2 linked regions of the Sus scrofa genome follow. The protein of the gene in region 1 interacts with the protein of each later gene in a biochemical or structural test. Links are inferred from orthologs where the notes say so. Each region holds a gene or a part of one and is shown in the gene's direction. Other genes may lie near its edges. The genes, in order: ETS2 and ZMYND11.

What was found.
Region 2: the proteins of ETS2 (region 1) and ZMYND11 form a complex in vitro, tested with the Homo sapiens proteins (2 studies listed by BioGRID). The link is inferred for Sus scrofa from reciprocal best matches to the Homo sapiens genes ETS2 and ZMYND11.

Annotation. Positions count from the first base shown.
Region 1 is NC_010455.5:202,462,816-202,467,235, forward strand, and holds the start of ETS2 (protein C-ets-2), read left to right. Parts: upstream 1-1,525; 5' UTR 1,526-1,753; intron 1,754-1,956; exon of another isoform or gene 1,957-1,975; intron 1,976-4,420. UniProt on the Homo sapiens protein: Transcription factor activating transcription. Binds specifically the DNA GGAA/T core motif (Ets-binding site or EBS) in gene promoters and stimulates transcription.
Region 2 is NC_010452.4:69,183,897-69,187,704, reverse strand, and holds part of ZMYND11 (zinc finger MYND domain-containing protein 11), read left to right. Parts: intron 1-1,425; coding exon 1,426-1,503; intron 1,504-2,270; coding exon 2,271-2,363; intron 2,364-3,808. UniProt on the Homo sapiens protein: Chromatin reader that specifically recognizes and binds histone H3.3 trimethylated at 'Lys-36' (H3.3K36me3) and regulates RNA polymerase II elongation. Does not bind other histone H3 subtypes (H3.1 or H3.2).

The DNA of each region.
Region 1 (4,420 bases):
GAATCAATTCAACCTGCTGTAAATACAAACCCTCTCAGCACCGGGTTTTTTGAGCCTCCACAGACCCTGTCTCACCCACGTAATGATGATACCTGGAGACCCTCAGGTACCTGGAAACATTAAGGCACAATAGTATCTCAATTATCCAGATGACTCCGGAGTTAGGGTTGCCATGGAAACCGGGAACCTTGGTAACAGAGAAGGGAGGCTGCTCCTCTCTCCCTTCACAGCACTGCAGTCCCTGGCCTTGCCTAAGCTGAGCTATTGTATTTTCTATCCACCCCTGGGCATCTAAATATTTCTCCAAGGAGTTCCCGTCGTGGCTCAGCAGTTAACGAACCTGACTGGCATCCATGAGGGCGCAGGTTCCATCCCTGACCTCGATCAGTGGGTTGAGGATCCGGCATTGCCCTGAGCTGTGGTGTAGGTCATAGACACGGCTCGGATCCAGTGTTGCTGTGGCCCTGGCATAGGCTGGCAGCTACAGCTCCGATTGGACCCCTAGCCTGGGAATCTCCATATGCCGCCGGTGCCGTGAAAAAGAGAGAAAAGACAAATAAATAAATAGATAAATAAATACTGAGAATGTGACCGGAATCTGAATAGGAAATGTGTGCATTTCTAGCCATGGACTCAAGTATCTCCTGCTAAAAATGGAAACTCTGGGGGGGAAGGGTGACGGTTTTGACCATAGTTGGAAGTCAGATAGCCTGGAGTTTCAACCCTGAATTTCCCACTCACACGTCCTATGACTCGGCAAGTTATTTACCCAAAGGGCCCATTCCCTCATGTTTAATGTGAGGACAATTATCCTGAGAATGAGCCCAGGGAAGCTCTTTCAAAGGCTGGTTCCTACTAAGACACCGCTCAACTCTAGGGGGCGCCACTTCCTCGGAGGCGGTAGGAACAGGGCTTCCCGGAGCAGAGGGGCGCTCTGTGACCCAGAAAAGGGCCCACCTTGTACGTCTATCATGTCTTTTAGTGTCTTTTCAGGACAGAAGAGTCAGAAGTCCACGAAGAGGTCCAAGAATTGGGCCAGAAATAGTCCCTTATGACCCAAGCCCTGTGGCCGCTCGGTGGCACCAGCACTGCTCCAGTCCTGCCAGGACAGGTTTTGGTGTTAAAGTCTCCGCACCAGCGGAAGAAACCAAAGAAAGACTCTCCTTCTGAGCTCCCGGGACACACACAGGGCTCGAGTCCTCGGGGTCCCCGGCCCACCACGGCCCCCCGAACCGCAGGCAAGGGACAGAGCCCAGTGACAGCGGGCGCCGAGCGAGGCCGGGCTTGGAAGGACTGGCTCCGCCCCCTGCTCTTCTCCTCCCCCCGCCTCCACTCCGCTCCCCTCCCCTCGGCTTCCCCCCTCCCCTGCTCCCGCCCTCTCGCGACTTTGCTCCCTTCTCCACCCCCACCCCTCCCCTCCCGATCTCCTCCCCTCTCCCCTCCCCTCTCGCCTTTCCCCTCCCCCGCCCCCCTCCTCCCCTCCCCGCGGTCGCCTCCCCTCCCTCCTCCGTCCTCCCCCGGCTCCTGAAGAGCGCGCAGCGAAGGGGACCGGCCAGTTACTTCCTCCAGCGGCGGCGCGGAGCGCGGTATCGCCCCAGCCCTGAGCTCCCGGAGCCCGCCGCCCGCCGCTCCCTGCCGGCTCAGGCCTGCCGAGCGCCCTCCCCGCGTCCCGGCCCCGCCGCCCGCGCCCTCCCCGGCGCGCACCGAGGAGTCCGGGCCCCGAGTCGCCGGCCGCCCTGCCCGAAGCGGCGCGGTAAGAGCAGGGTCGGGCCGGGTGGGCGGCCAGGGTCCGGCAGGTCCGGCGGGGAGCGCCCTCCGGGCCCCGGTTCCTCTGCCGAGGGATCCAGAAACGGCGTGGAGGACGTGGGTGGCGCGGAGAGCCGGATCCCAGGGCGCAGCCGGGGTCCCGGAGGGGTGGCGGCTATTCCTAGGATCCAGGGGTCGCGCTTCTGAGATCCGATCCGCTCAGCTCGTGGTATGGATGGCCCAGTGGCTTTGGGGGCGGCAAGTGGGGCGCGGAGTGGGCCCGGCGATGACGCGCGGAGCCGGCTGCGAACTTGGGCCGCGGTTCTGGGGTCGCCGAGCCGGCTGGGGCGGGCGGGGCGCGCCGACTTGTTTCACTTGCTTTTGTCTTAAAAGGAAACGCGGGCGTGGTGGGGGGCCCTTGCCAGTGGGCGCCTGGGAGACCTGATATCGCGAAGGGGCTGGGGGACGCCGGAGAGGGTGTCGGAGGGGCCCCGGCGCGCCCGGGTTTGTGGGTGACTTACTGGAGGGCGCCGGGCCCGGGCAGATCGGGGTCTAGGGGCGCATGAAACACCTTGGAAGCTACGGATCCCCGAAAACAGGCGGATCCCAACCCCCCGGTCACCTGCTCCGCCACGTCCAGGGCCCGGCCGGGGCGGCGGGCGAGGGAGGCGCCGGGAGGGTCCTGGCGCTCGAGCGAGACCCCCGTGGGCGCCCCAGGTCCTCTATATCTCGGGCCCTCGGTCCTGCTAGGCGAACCTGGGGAGCCAGTCGGAAGTGGGGATGTAGGTGCGCCAAGCTGCCTTTCCCGGTTCTTACAGCATTTTAGATGAAGAGGTAACAGCGATTGTGCGTGTGTGTTTTTTAAAGCACAAGAGATTTTTTTATATTATCCTGTATTCAATTATAGGGTATCCTAAAATAGTAGTTGACGTGCGACTTATTTAGAAAGTAAAGAAGTGAGCCAGTCCCCCCTTTGGATTGAGAGGTAATTTATTTTAATTTACCACTGAGAGATGATGTTTGTTCCGCACAGTGGAAGCGCCTGTGCGCCCTGTGCCTGCCCACACCACCGCCGATCAGAGAGAGAAATCTCCCAGTTAAGGTTTATTAAAATTCTGAATAATATCACAGTACAATAAATGTTAGCGCTCTGGGTCCTGCAGGAAAATAGCTGAACACTCATTTCGGGAATTAGTCATTCCTGACTCTATAAATTGATAACCTTCAAAGGAAAAAGCAAATCAATCTTCGAAAGTGCGTTTTGAGGTTTTCTTTTTCTTTTCTTTTCTCCTCAAATTTACCGAAATACAAACCCGTGTTCTAATCTCGCAGAAGGAATCACTTGTCCCCCGAGGGTACCGTTGGCCGGCAAGTTTTGCTTGTTTAAAAATGTTATCCTTCTCAGCCCTTTCGTGGCTGCCATTTCCCGTTTGTGTTGTTGTAGTTCAAAGGCAACAATCAGGAGGGCACCCCCCCCCCAAAAGACCTAAATGTGAAATTGACTTAGGATGTGGAGAAACTTGGCCTGTCTGCCACCTTGACTGGCCTCGTGGAGTCAAAGACGGGAACTTAAATTTGATTAGTTATGTGTCTGCCAGAAACCATTGGTAGCGCGCTTTGATTCTACATGGTTTTTACAAAACAAATTAAAAGCTGGACAACAAAAGAATTCTATTCTGTAGCTAGTAATTACAGCTCTCTGTGTGGGAGGGGTAGACTGCCTTTCCTCCTGGTGTTTGTACACAAAAACCAGGCGAGGCTTAGTCCATTGCCCTCCACGTCCATTCTCTGCGAAGCTGAAGTGTGGGATAAAACTGGACGAAGAAGATGGATAACTGTCCACATCCTTTCATTCGGCTCCTGTTTGAAGCTTGTGAATGTCATCAGCAGGTGACAGGACGTAGTCGACCCAGATAAATGGCAGAAAGTTCCATGAACCTTAAGGAGCATTTCAGGTAGTAAAGTCTCACGAGCAGGAACCTTGTCTAATGAGACTTGGGTGCCATCGCTGCTTTTTTTTTTTTTTGATGAGCTGGGAGAAGGGCCCCGGCCGCATCCCTCGGGTTAATTGGGCTCCTGGAGGAGCGAAGGAGGGAAGGCCATCACCGGCCTGGGACTGGGTCTGCGCAGTGCCCCTTCGATGCCCCTGCTGTCGCTGCGTCCTCCTGCGCCAGGCACCTGAGGTCTCTGGATCTTTGTTGCCTCGCGGTGAGAGGTTACATCTACCTCTCAGGGCTCAGGCCTTTCAGCCAGCTGGGCTGGTGGGATCGTCCAGCTCAGGCTGAGCCCTTAGCCAGGGCAGCGATCATCCGTAGTGAGTACTGATCTTAAGGGCCTGTGGAGGACACCGTCCGATCCATCAAGGGGAGATTCTAAGCAAACCTGATCCCTTTTGATCCAGGACCATCCCTCCTCCCAACCCCCACCCTCACCCCCCACTCTTATTTATTGTCTAAGCTTCCAGCCTCCACTGGCAACCACGAAAATTCCCCTGCGTTCTGAGGGCTGTAACAGCTGCCCCCAGCGCCTCGGGCCTCCCCGGTGGCTGTCACTGTGCTGTCCTCCTCCCATGGGGCTTGTCTAGCCAAGGGGTGTGTGTGTGTGTGTGTGTGTGTGTGTGTGTGTGTGTGTGTGTGTGTGTGTGTGTGTGTGTGTGTGTGTGTGTGCTGAGTTG
Region 2 (3,808 bases), on another chromosome or scaffold:
TCTTACCCTTTCTTCCCCACATCCAGCAGCTCATCGAGCTGTTTAGCTTAGACAGCAGTGCGTGGAAGGTGTCCTTTCCAGCAAGAACATTTGCACAAAAGTGTTAATAGCTGATTGTGCTTCAGACCCTTTGAGAGAATCATTCTGTTTGGCTCTGGCTTACTGGAGGGTCAGCTAATAGTTCTCACATGTTTGTGTGCCTGGGTATCACTGGGGATTTTGTTTAAAAACGAGGATGTATAAGCTACATCAAAGCCTCCTTCCCCCAGGATTGTAACCTGGGGTCCAGGAAATGGCATTGCATTTTAACTCCACATCTGCACCACTGGTTCTTGGTCTTGGCCAGATATCACAGCCACCTGAGAAATTAACATACAAATGACCGAGTAGATGCAGGACACAGGGCTTTCCCCCAGAAATTCCAATTCAGATGCTCAGGAAATCTTTTTTACTTTGTGTTCAGATATTTTCATGCTGTGTATGTATAATCAATTTGCTTAAGCCATGGCTAAGATTTCTCATTTGCTTGAGAAATGTTTGCTCCTTCCTCCACATATTTAGCATATTGAGAGAAATCCTGTGTATAAAGTTCTTTGGGGAGTAAATAATAATAAAACTGGGTAGAGAATCATCATCCAGTGGCCTGACAAAGTTAAAGCGTCTATCAGATAGTGGCCCAGCCTACTCAGTCCTCTGCAGTGCAGCCTGCTTGCAGTCCAGTGTCTGCTGTGGTGTCTTCTTGCCTTTGACTAAGGAAATGGGAGCATTGGCCCTTGTTTGCTGGCCGTCTAGAAATGACATAAAAGGTAGAATCCCGTCTTTTTTCTTCATGTGAAGTTAAATTATCTGAGAGATAAATTAAGGAGTCTGACTAGCTTTTAGGCAAGACTAATAGCCATTGGAGTTGGTACTGAAGAGTTCCGTAGCACGTTTAAGAAGATATGTGGATGTGTCTGCTGCAGGTGCATAATTCCTAAGAGAGACAGGCTTCTAATAACCTTGTTAACAAAGAAGAATATTATATTGAAATTCACCATGTAATATTGCCATTTAAAATATCCCCTACAGGATTTCAGCCATCGATATTTTTTATAAAAATAAGTGATTCTACATTATATCATTATTATATCAACATTATTATTATAGTTATTATTTCTTTTCATCTGAAACTTGGTTGAAGTTTTAACGCATCAAGAAAAGAAAAAGCATAATTCTCTAACTTATTATGTCAAGTATAACATATTTTCTGGTTCTTACCTTGTTACATTAAATGCTGTTTTTTGCTGTGCAAATTTTGAAATGTTGGAAATGATGCATACTAAGAAAATCTTTGCACACTATAATCTCTTATATATAGACGTCTTTATATATGTATATAGATTTATAAATGATCAGATTTTACATCAACCTTTTTGTTTTCAACAGAGCATCAAGAAGAAAAACACAAACAAGCAGGAGATGAGCACATACCTGAGGTTCATCGTCTCCCGCATGAAGGAGCGGGTGCGTCCGGGGCTGGGATGGGGGTGGGGCTCTCAGAGTCTCCCCAGATGTGCTTCACTCTGGTTTAGTCTCTAAAAGTTAATGATTGACAAGTAACAAATATTTAAAGAGTAGTACGAAGGGTGGAAACCACTGCTGTCGTATTTTTTTAGATTTTTTGTTTTAGCTTTGTTTTGTTTGTTTTGTCTTTGTTTTTTTGTTTGTTTTGGTTTTAGATTTTTTGTTTTAGCTTTGTTTTTTGCCTTTTTTTTAGGGCCACACCTGCGGCATATGGAGGTTCCCAGGCTAGGGGTCCAATCGGAGCCAAAGCCGCTGGCCTACAGCATAGCCACAGCAGTGCCAGGTCCAAGCCTCATCTGCGACCTACACCACAGCCCACGGCAACGCCAGATAATCAACCCACTGAGCGAGGCCAGAGATTGAACCTGCGTCCTCACATAAACTCGTCAGATTTGTTTCCCCTGAGCCACGATGGAAACTCCCTGTTTTTGTTTTTGACACAGGCATTTCTTTAGCTGCATTAGATTAGAAACATTTACATTTAAAATTCCATTTATCAGAATGAACATTTTCATTGATAATTAGTTTTTTAAATGAAATTGAATTTTCCAAAGTAAATGTTCTTTCTATAAAAACCTGAAGAAATGCCACATTAAACTACGGCACATGTACATTTTTCATTCAGTTCTAAAGTATTTGTTCAGAAGTTTGTGTTTCGCCCGTCTCTCTAGCCATGTTTTAAACGGACATGTCTCACAACCTTTCAGGCAATCGACCTTAATAAGAAGGGGAAGGACAACAAGCACCCCATGTACCGGCGGCTGGTGCACTCGGCAGTGGACGTCCCTGCCATACAGGAGGTAAAGCGCCGCGGCAGCGCAGCCCTGGCTGTGCACCTGCGCCCTTGTGCGTGTACTGTGCTCCCTCCAGTGCTCACTAGGGGTCATCTTTTAAGAGGCCTGGAAAAGATTCCTGACGCTGTCTGGTCGGTGTAATTAACACCCGGGTGTGGTTTCCTAGTTTTAACCCCAGTGCTTAGGAGTCTCTGTCAAGGGAAGACTAGAGCATAGAACTGATCAAGAGTCTTGAGAAACAGTGACATGAACTTGAACAAAGATTTTAACTAGAAAGTGTGGTTCTTCTTAATTCAAGTTCTTAATTTCACCTACTCTAGCTGAGGCTTGCTAATGGGCTTGTTAATGTTTAATTACAAATTACAGTAAAATTCAGTGAACACTTTGACCTGCGTCCAGTTAGGTTTGTAGATGTGCTGATCTGTACCTTATGTCATTTTGAAGTTTTAAAATCATACCATTGTCCATAACAGGGAAACCACAGGAATAAATCATTTTGCTCATGTCTTAATCTGCTTAATTTCTGAGAAAGACTGAGGCAGATGATTTCAGTGAAAGGGATAAATTAAGGTTGTTCATACAAACAACTTTAATTTTCCCTTCTAACCCCAGATTGCGTAGCCTCTCTTCTGACTCTGAGGCTCTGAGAATGATGAAGAACTCAGCTGCCCTTGCTGCCCTCTCCCTGCATGCCCCCCACCGCCCGCATTCCCCGTCTGATCTTCTCAGGCCTGTGGAACCCAATGGCTGGGTCGATGGTGCCTTATTAGCAAGGGCAGGCTGTAAACAGAAATACCATAAAGGAAATGAAGAGGAAGACGTGATTTTTATGCTTTCAGGAGCTTGCCGTCCATACCAAAATATAGGCTGTGAGAGTCCTTGGGGAATTCTGGGTGCAGGTGTTCCCAGCTGGGTTTAGTCAGGTGGCCTGGAAGTGCTGGGCGGTGCTAGGGTTTGAACATCCCTGAGCTGGAGGTAATGAGAAGTTCAGAGTGGAGGTCAGGTGTCTATATTCACGAAAGAGCCCTGTGCCCCTTGATGCCGGACAAGAGCCAGCAATTGCCTCGGGGCATGGAGGACCGTCTAGGACTTTATTTTAAAATTATTTATACATCAACACCTCATCCCAATTCAGAGTTGTAACTGTGTCTTCTTCGTGGTCATGGTAAACTCTCTCAGAGGCTGACAGTTCTTTCTTTTTTCAATCCTTATTCTCCTGAGTTGTAAAATCGTAGGTAGATAGCTAGGGTCTCATCAGTCCCATTGACCAAAGCTTTCATTATTTATAGGACTTCGCAGCAGCTTTCATCATTGTTCATGCTACATTGTTCACGTGGGTAAATAAATATTGAAGGCAACAGTGGCTGCAGGATGTGGGATCTGCCACACCTCCCCACCCTGCAGTGGTAACGCATCAAGAAAAGAAAAAGCATCAAGAAAAGAAAAAGCAT